Lonchura striata: one gene and its partners. The protein of the gene in region 3 interacts with the protein of the main gene of each other region in a pairwise test. Links are inferred from orthologs where the notes say so. Each region holds a gene or a part of one and is shown on either strand. Other genes may lie near its edges.

Evidence for each region.
Region 1: the proteins of DUSP12 (region 3) and RABAC1 interact in binary tests that used the Homo sapiens proteins (3 or more experiments, as listed by UniProt). The two-hybrid records come from large-scale screens. The link is inferred for Lonchura striata from reciprocal best matches to the Homo sapiens genes DUSP12 and RABAC1.
Region 2: the proteins of DUSP12 (region 3) and EIF5 interact in binary tests that used the Homo sapiens proteins (3 or more experiments, as listed by UniProt). The two-hybrid records come from large-scale screens. The link is inferred for Lonchura striata from reciprocal best matches to the Homo sapiens genes DUSP12 and EIF5.

Annotation. Positions count from the first base shown.
Region 1 is NC_134639.1:279,228-284,057, forward strand, and holds the start of RABAC1 (prenylated Rab acceptor protein 1), read right to left. Parts: upstream 3,138-4,830; coding exon 3,067-3,137; intron 1,717-3,066; coding exon 1,519-1,716; intron 154-1,518; coding exon 62-153; intron 1-61. UniProt on the Homo sapiens protein: General Rab protein regulator required for vesicle formation from the Golgi complex. May control vesicle docking and fusion by mediating the action of Rab GTPases to the SNARE complexes.
Region 2 is NC_134608.1:10,229,242-10,234,071, forward strand, and holds the start of EIF5 (eukaryotic translation initiation factor 5), read right to left. Parts: upstream 3,409-4,830; 5' UTR 3,334-3,408; intron 3,167-3,333; 5' UTR 2,974-3,166; intron 1,719-2,973; exon of another isoform or gene 1,529-1,718; intron 1,004-1,528; 5' UTR 796-1,003; coding exon 724-795; intron 462-723; coding exon 380-461; intron 158-379; coding exon 1-157.
Region 3 is NC_134604.1:28,325,563-28,330,392, forward strand, and holds the start of DUSP12 (dual specificity protein phosphatase 12), read right to left. Parts: upstream 2,954-4,830; 5' UTR 2,684-2,953; coding exon 2,415-2,683; intron 2,337-2,414; coding exon 2,223-2,336; intron 1,740-2,222; coding exon 1,621-1,739; intron 713-1,620; coding exon 616-712; intron 232-615; coding exon 45-231; intron 1-44. UniProt on the Homo sapiens protein: Dual specificity phosphatase; can dephosphorylate both phosphotyrosine and phosphoserine or phosphothreonine residues. Can dephosphorylate glucokinase (in vitro).

The DNA of each region.
Region 1 (4,830 bases), on a different chromosome or scaffold from region 3:
CCAGTAACTCCCAGTCCCCTCCCAGTCCCTCCCAGTATAAACCAGTCCCTCCCAGTCTCACCCAGCAGCACCAGCGGCGTCTCCCGGGCCCGGAGCCGAACGGCGACGCCGAAAAAAACCCCGAGAGCGACGAGGAGCAGCGGGGAGCTCAAACTGGGAGAACTGGGAGTTACTGGGAGCACTGGGAGCTCAAACTGGGAGCACTGGGAGGGACTGGGAGCACTGGGAGCTCCAACTGGGAGCACTGGGAGTTACTGGGAGCACTGGGAGCTCCAACTGGGAGAACTGGGAGTTACTGGGAGCACTGGGAGCTCCAACTGGGAGCACTGGGAGTTACTGGGAGCTCAAACTGGGAGCACTGGGAGGGACTGGGAGCTCAAACTGGGAGCACTGGGAGGGACTGGGAGCTCAAACTGGGAGCACTGGGAGTTACTGGGAGCACTGGGAGCTCCAACTGGGAGGGACTGGGAGCACTGGGAGCTCAAACTGGGAGCACTGGGAGTTACTGGGAGGGACTGGGACAAACTGGGACAAACTGGGACAAACCGGAACAACGCCACAAAACCCCCCAAAAATTCCCAAAAATTCCCAAAAAATTCCCAAAATTCCGCAAAATTCCCCAAAAATTCCCGAATTCCCGAAAATTCCCAAATTCCTCACAGGCAGCAGGCCAGCAGCGCCAGGAACAGCAGCAGGGAATTGCTGGGGAACAATGCCCCAAAAATGCCAAAAAATCCCCCAAAAACGCCCTGAAACCCCCCAAAATCGCTGTAGAACCCCCGAAAAATTCCCCAAAAATTCCCAAAAATTCCCAAAAATTCCCAGAATTCCCGAATTCCTCAGAGGCCGGAATTGCTGGGGAACGATGCCCCAAAAAACCCCCAAAAAATCACAAAAAATCCCCCAAAAACGCCATTAAACCGCCCAAAATCGCTGTAGAACCCCCGAAAAACTCCCCAAAAATTCCAAAAAAATTCCCAAAAATTCCCATAATTCCCGAATTCCTCAGAGGCCGGAATTGCTGGGGAACGATGCCCCAAAAAACCCCCAAAAAATCACAAAAAATCCCCCAAAAACGCCCTGAAACCCCCCAAAATCGCTGTAGAACCCCCGAAAAATTCCCCAAAAATTCCCAAAAATTCCCAAAAATTCCCGGAATTCCCGAATTCCTCACAGGCAGCAGGCCAGCAGCGCCAGGAACAGCAGCAGGGAATTGCTGGGGAACAATGCTCCAAAAATGCCAAAAAATCCCCCAAAAATGCCATTAAACCCTCCAAAATCGCTGTAGAACCCCCGAAAAATTCCCGAAAAATTCCCAAAAATTCCCAAAAATTCCCAAATTCCCAGAATTCCCGAATTCCTCAGAGGCCGGAATTGCTGGGGAATGATGCCCCAAAAAAACCCCAAAAAATCACAAAAAATCCCCCAAAAATGCCATTAAACCCCCCAAAATCGCCGTAGAACCCCCGAAAAATTCCCAAAAATTCCCAAAAATTCCCGAATTCCCGAATTCCTCACAGGCAGTAGGCCAGCAGCGCCAGGAACAGCAGCAGGTAGTTGCTCTGGAACCTCTCGGCGTTGTGGCCCAGGCGCCGCCAGAGCTCCCCCAGATTTTGGGGGACCCCGAAGCGCCGCTGGTCCAGGAAGGAGCCCCAGGGCCGCAGCCCCGCCCGGCGCGCCCCCAGCCAGCGCCAGGCCCAGCCGGGGGGGGACAGCCTGGGGGACCCAAAATCGCCAAAATTCACCCCAAAATCCAGCCCAAACTAACCCGAAAAACCCCGGCCCCAAAACAGCCCAAAAACACCCCAAAACCGCCCCAAAATCCACCCCAAAATCCACCCCAAAATCCACCCCAAAGCTGCCCCAGGGCCCCCAGCCAGCGCCAGGCCCAGCCGGGGGGGACAGCCTGGGGGACCCAAAATCGCCGGAATTCACCCCAAAATCCGGCCAAAACTAACCCGAAAAACCCCGGCCCCAAAACACCCCAAAAACACCCGAAACTGCCCCAAAATCCACCCCAAAATCCACCCCAAAATCCACCCCAGGGCCCCGAGCCAGCGCCAGGCCCAGCCGGGGGGGGACAGCCTGGGGGGGACCCAAAATCGCCGGAATTCACCCCAAAATCCAGCCCAAACTAACCCGAAAAACCCCGGCCCCAAAACAGCCCAAAAACACCCAAAACTGCCCCAAAATCCACCCCAAAATCCACCCCAGGGCCCCGAGCCAGCGCCAGGCCCAGCCGGGGGGGGGACAGCCTGGGGGGCGACCCAAAATCGCCAAAATTCACCCCAAAATCCACCCCAAACGAACCCAAAAAACCCCGGCCCCAAAACACCCCAAAACCCCCCAAAACCGCCCCAAAATCCACCCCAAAATCCACCCCAAAATCCACCCCAGGGCCCCGAGCCAGCGCCAGGCCCAGCCGGGGGGGGACAGCCTGGGGGGGACCCAAAATCGCCAGAATTCACCCCAAAATCCCCCAAATCCCCCGAAAATTCCACAAATCTCCCCAAAATTCCCCAAATCCCCCAAAACTCCCCAAAATTCCCCAAATCCACCCAAATCTCCCCAAAATTCCCTAAATCCCCCAAAACTCCTCCAAATCTGCCAAAATCTCCCCAAAATTCCCCAAATCCCCCAAATCTCCCCCAAATTCCCCAAAATTCCCCAAATTTCCCCCAAATTCCCACAAATCCCCCCAAAAGTCCCCAAATCCCCCCAAACTCTTCCAAATTCCCCAAAATTCCCCAAATCTCCCCCGAATTCCCCAAAATCCCCCAAATCTCCCCCAAATTCCCACAAATCCCCCCCAAAATCCCCAAATCCCCCCAAAACCCCCCAAAATCCCCAAATCTCCCCAAAACCCCCCAAAATCCCCAAATCCCCCCAAAATCCCCAAATTCCCCCAAATTCCCCCAAATCCCCCCAAAACCCCCCAAAATCCCCAAATCCCCCCAAATCCCCCCAAATCCCCAAATCCCCCCAAATCCCCCCAAAATCCCCAAAATCCCCAAATCCCCCAAATCCCCAAATCCCCCCAAATCGCCCCAAAATCGCGCCCCTCACCTGCCCAGCCCCCCCCTGGGGTCGCTCTCGGCCCCCGGCGGCTCCTGGGGGGGGGGCGCGGCCTCGGCCATGGCGGCGGCTTTGGGGAGAAACCGCGCGGTTTTGGGCAATTTGGGAAATTTGGGGAGAAACCGCGCGGTTTTGGGAATTTTGGGGAGAAACCGCGCGGGTTTGGGCAATTTGGGGAGAAACCGCGCGGTTTTGGGCAATTTGGGGAGAAACCGCGCGATTTTGGGCAATTTGGGGAGAAACCGCGCGATTTTGGGCAATTTCGGAAATTTGGGGAGAAACCGCGCGGGTTTGGGCAATTTGGGAAATTTGGGGAGAAACCGCGGGATTTTGGGCAATTTGGGAAATTTGGGGAGAAACCGCGCGGGTTTGGGCAATTTGGGGAGAAACCGCGCGGGTTTGGGCAATTTGGGAAATTTGGGGAGAAACCGCGCGGTTTTGGGCAATTTGGGGAGAACCGCGGGGTTTTGGGAAATTTGGGGAGAAACCGCGCGGTTTTGGGGGGATTTTGGGCAATTTGGGGAGAACCGCGCGATTTTGGGAAATTTGAGGAGAAACCGCGGGGTTTTGGGCAATTTGGGGAGAAACCGCGCGGTTTTGGGCAATTTGGGGAGAAACCGCGCGGTTTTGGGAAATTTAAGGAGAAACCGCGTGGTTTTGGGAAATTTGGGGAGAAACCGCGGGGTTTTGGGCAATTTGGGGAGAAACCGCGCGATTTGGGGGGATTTTGGGCAGAAACTGCGCGGTTTTGGGCAATTTGGGAAATTTTGGGGAGAAACCGCGGGGTTTTGGGAATTTTGGGGAGAAACCGCGCGGTTTTGGGAAATTTGGGGGATTTTGGGAAATTTGGGGGATTTCGGGGAATTCTTAAAGGTTTTTGGGGTCGTTTCGCAGATTTTGGGTCCCGCGGGGGATTTGGGGTCCCGGAGAGAATTTTTGGGGTTAAATCTGCAGATTTCGGTCCCGCAGAGGATTTTGGGGTCCCGGGGGGATTTTGGGGTTAAATTCGAGGATTTGGGGTCCGGGGAGAAATTTTGGATTAAATCCGCGGATTTTGGGTCCGGGGAGGATTTTGGGGTTAAATTCGCGAATTTTGGCGTCCCAGGAAGGATTTCGGGGTTATTCCGCTGATTTTGGGGTTAAATCCGGTGGTTTTGGGGTCCCGGAGAGGATTTAGGGGTTAAATCCGTGGATTTTGGGGTTATTCCGCTCATTTTGGGGTGAAATCCGCGGATTTTGGGGTCCCGGGGGGATTTCGGGGTTATTCCGCTGATTTTGGGGTGAAATCCGCGGATTTCGGGGTCCCGGGGAGGATATCGGGGTTATTCCGCTGATTTTGGGGTGAAATCCGCGGATTTCTGGGTCCCGGGGGGATTTCGGGGTTATTCCGCTGATTTTGGGGTTATTCCGCTGATTTAGGTGTTATTCCGCTGATTTTGGGGTGAAATCCGCGGATTTCGGGGTCCCGGGGAGGATTTCGGGGTTATTTTGCTGATTTTGGGGTGAAATCCGCGGATTTCGGGGTCCCGGCGAGGATTTCGGGTCCCGGGGAGGATTTCGGGGTTATTCCGCTGATTTTGGGGTTAAATCCGGTGGTTTTGGGGTCCCGGGGAGGATTTCGGGGTTATTCTGCTGATTTTGGGGTGAAATCCGCGGATTTCTGGGTCCCGGGGAGGATTTCGGGGTTATTCTGCTGATTTTGGGGTTATTCCGCTGATTTTGGGGTGAAATCCGCGGATTTCGGGGTCCCGGGAA
Region 2 (4,830 bases), on a different chromosome or scaffold from region 3:
TTCTCACACTCAGGACAGAGAACAAATTTTTTAATGAATCCATCCAACATGTCTTGCAGCTTATTCGCCTCATGAGATCCATTGACAATGTAACGGTCATTCTTAACATCAAACTGGGTCTGTGCTCCCAGCTCACAACCAAAAAATTTGGTAGGATCTGTAAAGGAAGAATTACAGCCATTACCACATTCATATCTTTGTTCTGATTCTTAAAGAGCAAGTAGAGGCTACTGTTTCTGTCCATTCTTTAATCCTGAGATAATCATGTTTTTTTCCTACAAATCTTTAAGGAACAGTATTAATGCTTTACTAGCCAATTCACACTACCACTTCAAACAGAAAAGCATTACAAAATGCTGTGTCATTCCACAATACTTACACGTTGGAGGCCGATTAAGCGCCTTTGCAACGTCAACCATGTTGACTATAACCGTCTTTATTCCATTTCCTTTGCCCTCCACCTACAGAAAAAAAATAATATTTTAAGGTCAAATGTTTGCAACAGCCAAACCCAGTGTGCATTTCCATTTAACTACACCAAAATTCCGCTTTGAAGTGCAACTCCTTCCAAGACTAACATGCACTTAGTGTGGACCGGAGGAGGGCACATCCTCCCTGCTCTGAGTGACCAAGCATTATCCTGGCCTCTCTTTCCCACCCTGGGAAAACCAGTTATGGGAGAACACTCCCTGCTTTGCTTCCAGCTGCTGCTTAGGAAGTTACCTTGGCAATCAGACGGGGCATTTTGTAGCGATAGAACTGATCTGAAACACTGCGGTTGACGTTGACAGACATTTTGCCTTATTAGTAGCTTTATCAATAAGATGAAGAGATCTTTGATTGCAGTTTTTTGGTATCTTCTGTCTGGAGAAGACGGGATGACATAAACGACTGCAAGAGTTCTCGGTCTCTGACATGAAAAAATTTTCGCCACTGAGGCTGTAAGGTTCTTGCTTGTATGCTATGTTTCCCCAATACAGGTACCAGTGGCTGCGCAACAGCTCTGCAAGTGTTAACAACACACAAAAAAATTAAGTTTAGATTCATGTACATCAATCCACTCTTGCCACAAAGCTATATAATGCATGATATTTAAGGTGAATAAAGGGAAAAGTACATTTCTTATGCTATGGCTTTCTTCAACCTATGGAACTGAAATCCATCCTTGGCTTGTACTGCTAAGGAACTTTTCTTTAACTGCACCACCAAGCTTTCCACCCTCTCTTACTGCCCTAAAACCACTGAACAGCTTACAACTACTTTTTTATACAATTAATTCCAGCAGGAGTTCTGGGATGACTAAGGAAGGGCACACGCCTCGATTATGCAGACCAGTGACTTGCGCCATAAGGGTCACGTGGTACAGTTTCAGGCTGAAGGGCACAGGAAATCAGGAGAAATATTTGGAAATCCATTTCAAATTCCACATCATGAACCTATCACAAACTGAAGTCTGCCAAAATGTTGCAAAATATAAGTAAGATGAAGCAGCAGCAATCTGTAGCCCAACAGTTTCTACATGGCTTACCAGTTTTTGAATCGGAGTGGAAAAGAGTTGAAAATTACGTAATTCTCTCTCTCACTTATGGATTCTCATAGCAGCTTCTGTTGAGTTCTGACTTAACAATAAGCCTGATAAAATCTGACAGAAGTTGCTTCACTGTAGAAAGCCTAGCAATGCAGAGGTACAGAGCAGTGCAGCAGCTTTTCCAGTTGATTTTTTCTTGGGGGAAAGGGAGGGGGGGAGGAAGGGGAAGGAGGATGAATCCTATTATTAACGTTGCCTTGAGCAGTATTTACATATTTAAATTAACACGTGCTTCTATAATCAGATCTAATGGTACTTAAGCCACAATTGGTTGAGTACACAGGCAACCCTGATTACAGAGCATGGCTATTCTGACACGTCATCACGTTGTTATCGTTAATGACAGAAGCGTTGACACATTAAAAAAGCTTTCTTAGTATTTATGTGGAAGAGCGTGCCTATGGTGCAACATGATCCGAGTCCTCTGGTCACGTTTACAACTTCTTTACACAATAAGAACATAGATCTCTATGTGCCTTGTCTTCTACATTAGCCCTGATACAATTTTACCCTTCCTCAGCAAAAACCACACCGCTAGGACTCCGTTTACAACACACTATTTCCTTCCCCAGGATGTCTAAAAAGAGCCGCGGTGTAACCTGACCACGTGTCTTTAGAAATGCCGAGGAAGCAGCTCTCTCGGTGGCCGAGCTCCCAGAAGGAGCGTACCGTTTTCCCCCCCTTCCAGAGCGCAGCACTGATCCGCTGCAGGCTGCAGCTCCCTCTCCTGGTGCCCACACCACCTCATCCCAAGCACCACCCCCCCTCGCCGCGCACGGAGGACAGAGCGGGAAGGCACACCGGCTCCCTGCCGCACAGCGCCGCGCCCCCGCCCCGCCGCCGGTGACTCATAAATGCAGCAATTAAACGCTGACTCAGCGCCGGGAGCCGCCGCCGGCCGCGCATGCGCCCCGCACGGCACGGGGGAGCCCCCGCCGCCCCCCGGGAGCGGGGCCGAGCGCCCCCCCCCGCGCCCGGTGGGAACTGCGCCACTGCCCCCCCCGGGCACAGCGCGGGAGGCGCGGCCCCGCCGCCGCCATCTTGTCTCGTCGCATGGCGGCGGCGAAACGAATATAAATTAAAAAAAAAAAAAAAAATCCTCGCCCTCGCCCCCGCCCCAACAGCAAACAATAACCCCACAGATGAAGGTTTACTGCTTTCAGAGTTGAGTTTTGTTGTGCGGTTTTATGTTGTTTGCTCCCCCGCCCCGCGTTGCTTCTCCTCCCCCTCCCGTCAAAGTCCCGGACGCTTCGTTACACAAAACCTCTGCGAATCTCCACCGTTCACCGGCAGCCTGAGGCCCCAGCCCGGCCCCAACCACCCGCCGGCCCCCGCTCCCCTTACCCCGCTGCCCTCACCCGCACTAGCCCACTATTAGCACTCACCGTTTTCGTCCAATAAAGACATAAACCCAACGCTGCTCGCCCCGGGCTGCGACGAAGCCGATTGTGAGAGGAGAACAGGGCCGAGGGGGCGCTTATATCCAGACGGAGAGGGAGGCGGAGGCGGACGCCGCAGCCTCCGGGTCCCGGCGTCCTGGGGCGGGCGGTATCACCAGGGAGAGCGGCGCCGGGCAATCTGCGGGCAAGATACAATCAGGAGCATCGTTAGCGGCGGCACCTGCGAGGGAGAGGGAAGAGGAGGGGGGAGAAGAGGGAAGGGGGGAGGGAGAGGCGGCGAGAGGCGCGCAGCTGAGGCAGCAGGGGCCGGCGAACGGGACCCGGCAATGGCTGCCCCGTACTCACCTCTAGAATGTTCTCGCTCCGACTGAACAACGCCAGAGCTGGGATCAATCAGCCAGCGCTGCGCCCCGCCCCCCACCGTCGCCATTGGCTCACCGCTCCCCTCGCTGTGAAGCTATTGGCTAAAACCTCGCCGCTCCCCTCGCCTATTGGTGAACGCCGCTATCAATCAAGGCTTTGCCTCCCTCCCCCGTGTCCTCCCCCTCGCCAGTGCCCCAAAGGACATCGCGTCTACAGCGACCGAGTCTCGCGAGAGAGCGCGGGGCGGGGGGGGCCGAGGCCGGGCCGGTGCGGCGGGGCCGGGGCTGAGGGGGCTGAGGGGGCTGAGGGCGCTCCCCGGGGCTGAGGGGCTGAGGGGGCTGAGGGCGCTCCCCGGGGCTGAGGGCGCTCCCCGGGGCTGAGGGCGCTCCCAGCTTCCCCCGGCCCCTCCGTCCTGCCAGGTGTGCCCAAACTCTGCCCGTGGGTGGGGGGCGAGCTACTCCCTGGAGGGCAGTGACCCAGCGCTTGACATCTCAGCAACTATGTTACAAGTAATAATACAAAGAATTCAAAGCAATTAAGTTGCTGAATAAGTTGTGTTTTTCCTGCACAGCCGGCTTGTGGGGTTGGGGAAGAGCCTGTTGTTTAATTCCCGTGTCATAAAGGCTCAGCGTTGGGTGGCTCTGGGTGCCTTACAAAGAATGACACAAGTGCCGTAAGCATGTACTCTATTCTTAGTGGAAAATGTTGCCAGCCCTATGTAGCTGAATTGAGATCCTGAATGAAATGCATATCTTGATTTATTTTCACATAAAAAGCAGAAAACTTGCATCCTTTTTTCCATTTCTCGTTCTTTCCCATCTTCCATCTACGCTCCTCCAGTATCACAGGAGTTATATGTTTTGGGGATTTTACAGTGTCAATAATGTTCAGGTGGCAAAGAATTTTTCCCTGACTTTATGAACTGAGTGGGCAGCCAGCTTCTTGATGGCTCTGTGGGAGTAGAGGAAAAGAGAGGGAATGACAATAAAACTAGTAGTGACATTAAATAATGCTCTAAATCTCTGCCTGCCTAAAGTTGGTTTTAATGTGTAGTTTTCCTGCCTGACTTCGATATCACGTAGATGTGGTCAAAGGAGACATCACTCCTGTTGAACCTTGAAGTACATATTGAACATTTTTGGTCGAATATGCAGAAGAACTGCACTCAGGAAGGTGGCTGATAAATGATGTTTTCTTGCAAGTCACAAAAGCAGGACTACTGCCACTTCCAGTAGCATACAGCAACAATGAAAAAGCAACCCGAGATAAATGCGCACATCTTGGTGCTTTCTATCAAAACCCTCATTGTGTTAGCTGCCCCTCCTACATGTCTCCTTTCAGTACGTGGAATAGCTGGTCGTTCTAGCCAGGACACTGTCCTGTAAAGAATCATGGAATGGTTTGGGTTGGAAGGGACCTTAAAGATCATCTAGTGCTAACCCCTCACCATGGGCAGGAACACCATCCACCAGACCAGAC
Region 3 (4,830 bases):
CCCAAACCAAAACTCCAAAGAGTAAAGTGCATGCTCCAGTTCACCTGTCCTTCCATTACTCCGAGCAATGCCGGTTCCATCCACTGCACAGGCTCGATGAAGTAGGAGGTGCACTTTTCCTGGCCATTCCCAGAAAGCCTTGCAGACTCTGTTATCCTCTTGTGGGCAAAAGCTGTGGGTCCCATTCCTTCCGTGTGGGACAAAATGCTGGAGCTACGGAACAGAGCGCGTCTGCCCTCCAGGACATGGGAAAAAAGAAGTAAAACAAATGGATTTTTTCACTGGGCAAAGCTACAAATAGAAAGTATGGGTCTCCTGGCTCTGAATAATTAAACAGGAGTATAAATTCTACATTTTTTTGATTAGTCTAGAAGGTTCACAAGCACCACTCCAGGGAACAAAGGGTTTTGCATGTTGTACTTTTTTTTTTTTTTTTCTGCAAACACAGCATGGAAACTTAGGCAACAGCTCATCCCTGACCTGACAACAATGACATGCCCATTGATTCACACAGGTATTCTACTCTTGAGTAGATTTCACAATGATGTTTTAAGTAGAAATATAAAGTATTTTATAAATATATAAAAATACATTTTTTTAAAATATATAAAGTACCTGCATTTCCTGCATTTGTAGAGAACCTCTGTGTTCAAAGTTTGACATACAGTGGTAGGATCAACTGCAAAGACTTCTCGGGGCAAGTCTTGAGGTCCTGCAGAGGGGTCAAGACCATATTGTGAATCAGATCAGCTCAGCCATGCTGCATTCCTGGGAATGAGACAGGACTGTGCCTCTGCCCCAGTTACAGCCTGCGGGTGCCACCTTCTTTCATTTGTTCTCTCACTAATTCCAATAGATTAAGCTAAAAAAAAAGGAGCCTCATCCCGCCATGCCTGAGACTGGGATTTGTTTAATGCAAGGAACTGGGATCTAGATTATGGCCTCAACCATGGTAAAATAATGATATTTTGCTTTATGTTCTTACTTCAGCAGAAAGTAAAGGCAGAGGAGGTTTCTGAGCAGTTGTGCCAATGTTTGAATGCCCAAAATACAGAAAGTCATCACGCAAATAAGAACTGCTTAGGACAATGTTACATAAAGGGCACAAAGTTGCACTGTGATGCAATACTGAGATCTTGCAAGAAAAGCTACAGATTATTCTATTATAAAATTACACCAATGTATACGTATATTGTGCGAATTAAAGTATGAAAATGTACTTCATTACCAGCATTTCAACTTTTGCATGTTATTTTTTCATCACATTGACATATTTTTATCACACTGACGTATTTTAACAGAGGATGCTGTTTGCTTTGCCAGGAATGTAAAAATCACTAAAAATATTGAATTGACCTTTACCATTTTTTGCACTTTACTAAAGAGTGCAGCTCCTTACAGATCTTATTTCCCGCGCATGTCCCAAAGGCACATTTTTTCCCCCCCCACTGACGAACTGGGATTTGCTAGGGCTGGTATAATGTGAATGTTCGCCCTGGCCAAGCGCAGGCTCGGCTCTTTTGAGGGCAACACTCGAAGCCAAGCCCCTTTGACATGGCTTTCTGCGTTCATTCCGGGACAGCCAGTTCCCCTCCCGGGAAACGCGATTCTCCCGCTCACCGGAGAACCTCTCGCTGAGCATCTCCAGCCGGTACCGCTTGTAGAGCACGCTGCCGGTGTCCACGGCGCAGCCCATCGCCTCGTAGAGCTTCAGCTGTGCCTGGAAGCCGGGGTTCACCCTGCGGCGGGGCGGAGAGCGGAGCGGGGTGAGGGCAGCGCGGGGTGAGAGCGGAGCGGGGTGAGAGCAGCGCGGGGTGAGGGCGGAGCGGGGTGAGAGCGGAGCGGGGTGAGAGCGGAGCGGGGTGAGGGCAGCGCGGGGTGAGGGCAGCGCGGGGTGAGAGCGGAGCGGGGTGAGGGCAGCGCGGGGTGAGGGCAGCGCGGGGTGAGAGCGGAGCGGGGTGAGGGCAGCGCGGGGTGAGGGCAGCGCGGGGTGAGAGCGGAGCGGGGTGAGGGCAGCGCGGGGTGAGGGCAGCGCGGGGTGAGGGCAGCGCGGGGTGAGAGCGGAGCGGGGTGAGAGCAGCGCGGGGTGAGAGCGGAGCGGGGTGAGAGCGGAGCGGGGTGAGAGCGGAGCGGGGTGAGGGCAGCGCGGGGTGACAGCGGAGCGGGGTGAGGGCAGCGCGGGGTGAGAGCGGAGCGGGGTGAGGGCAGCGCGGGGCACTCACCGCGCGTCCGGCTTGGCGGCGCTGACGGCGGCCAGCGCCTCCTCCCAGCCGAGCCCCTGCGTCTTCATCAGGTAGGCGGCGACCACGGCCGCGCTGCGGCTCACCCCGGCGTGGCTGCAAGGCGAGGGCGGCCCGTCAGCGGCAGCGCGGCCGCCGCGGGCAGCGCTGGCCCCGCCGCGGCCCCGCGCTCACCAGCGGACGAGCGCGGCGCCGCCGCCCGCCCGGGCCGCGCCCAGGAACGCGGCGCACTCGTCCAGGCGGCTCAGCAGGTCCGCGCCGGGCTCGTCCCGCGCCCGGACGTGCATGGCCCGCACCCCCGGCACGGCCGGCGGCTCCTCCGCGTCCACCGTCAGCACCGCCACCACCCCCGCCGCCGCCAGCGCCTCCGGGGACGAGCACGAGTCCGCGGCGCCCAGGTAGAGCCCCGCCAGCACCGGCACCATCCCGCCGGGAGCCGCCATGGCCGGGCAGGCGGGCGGAGCGCCGCCCCGGCCGCAGCGCTTTCCGCTTCCCCGCCGGGATGCGGGGATGACTTCCGCGGGAGTCGGCGTGCAGCGCTGCCTGCCGGCGCCGCTCGCTCCTCGCCGCGTCTGCGGGCCTCTGCCTTAACTCGTCCTTTCTCCCCACCCCTCCGTCTGCTTACACACGCTCAGAAAACAAATATGTATCACAGGAGGGGTCACGTTGCGAGGGACCGCAGTCATTTGGTCCAACCTGCCTGCTCAAGCAGGGTCGTCCAAAAGTACCTGGTACAGTGTGAAAAATGCATATTAAATGATTGGCTCTTCACAAATATTAAATTGAATACTTGTATCTGTTCTGTTAAACTGACTACTTATATGTGTTACGTGTTATTTTGTAGTACTGTATTAATCCTTTTAAAGTAGTGTGTTAAATATAGTTTTAGGTTATAGCATAGTGTTGAAATAGAAACTGAAAAACGCTAATTACTTGGTTTTTAAAATTTTAAAAATGTAATAATATTAAAATGGTTATAAAAATAATAATACAATTAGAGTAATAAAGTTTAGAGTTAGGATAATTATAAGACAATAAAAAGCAAAGAATTATGGACGTTTGGATGTTCTCGGACACTAAGTTACAAAAAGTATGACTTGTGAACAAAAGAATCACCCTTAATACACTTGTTGCGTATTTATATATCTTTTATGGTTATGCATACGTTTTATTTAAAACAAGAAACTCTGTTTGTTGTATGTCAACTGTTCTTTTAATTCCTATAGCATCTTTGAGTTTGAGCAAAGCTTGAAGAAATTAGGTTCTTCTGATAAGAAGCTATAAATTCCTCTCCTTTGGAAGATTTAGGTGTTCTTCAAAGCGAGTATTTCATTCTTAAAAAAAACTTCTTCTGCATGTATAGTCTCTATTTTAGCATTATGTTGGAACTTAAAACTATATTTTATATACTACTTAAGAGAATTAATACAGCATAACTTTTTAAGATTATACATATAATATTCATTGTAATATTTGCGAAAAGCTAATCATAAAATATGCATTTTTCACAGAAACTATGCAATGTAAGATATTTTTCTAACTAGCTAAATAAAGGGATGAGATAATAAAGAAATTCTTCACACGGAGATAGCAGCAACAAGACACCTAAAGAGTTACAGCCTCCTTATTGGAAAAGACAAACATTCTTCCACCTCCTCTCAGTCTTTAAGGAGCCACCAGGATTAAGGAGAAGAAGTTTGCAATAACTTGAGAACATCCTTTGTTTGAAAAGAATTTATGCATCATGTATGAGATACATGAATATGCAACAGGCTACTGCTTTTAAGGGTTAATCCTTTGTTAGCATGTGTGATTTCAGGGCTTAATTGGCCTAGGACTGGACTGTCCATTTTTCTTTTTTTTTTGTTGTTGTTGTTGTCCTAACTCTGATTGTCCAAATTATTATTACTCTATTTTTATTACCATTTTATTACTATTAAACTTTTAAAATTTTAAAACAAGTGATTGGTGTTTTTCACATACAGGATTGTGTCCAGACAGTTCTGGAGTATCTCCAGTGAAAGAGACTCCTGACAGACAACACAGAAAATAGAAATTTTCAGTTCCTCTTGAAGCTGAACTTAAATAGAACTTAAATACTAACTAGCAAAATAGATAAAAGAGTACAAAAGTAGACACACAGGATGCTAATTATAACTGGAATCAGTGGATAAACAGTTAATGAGGAATATAGTGGTTTTTGTGGCAAAGCCATGTAACAAGAAGCAACAGCACATGCCCTAAAAGAAGTTCAAGCCAAAGTCATCTGCATCATTGGGGGTGTCAGGAAAATCCACAAACACCAGAGGTTTTTGTCCAAAAAGGAGACAGAGGTGTCCTGCAACTTTATTTGAATGAAGGGAGAGTTCACTGGAGCACACACCTGCAGAGTTTTCTCTCTCTCAGGGTTTTGGAGGGCACAGCTGCCTTTTATCCAAAACTCCTGGCCACATGTTGCCCTCTTCGTTTCCCCATTGCTGAGGTACTCAAAAGGTACAGCCTTCATGAACTGCCTGCCACATATTCCCCGTTTGAACCTATTATTTTACCCCAAAATTCAGAAGTTCAAGCTTGTGCAGACTTGTCTATT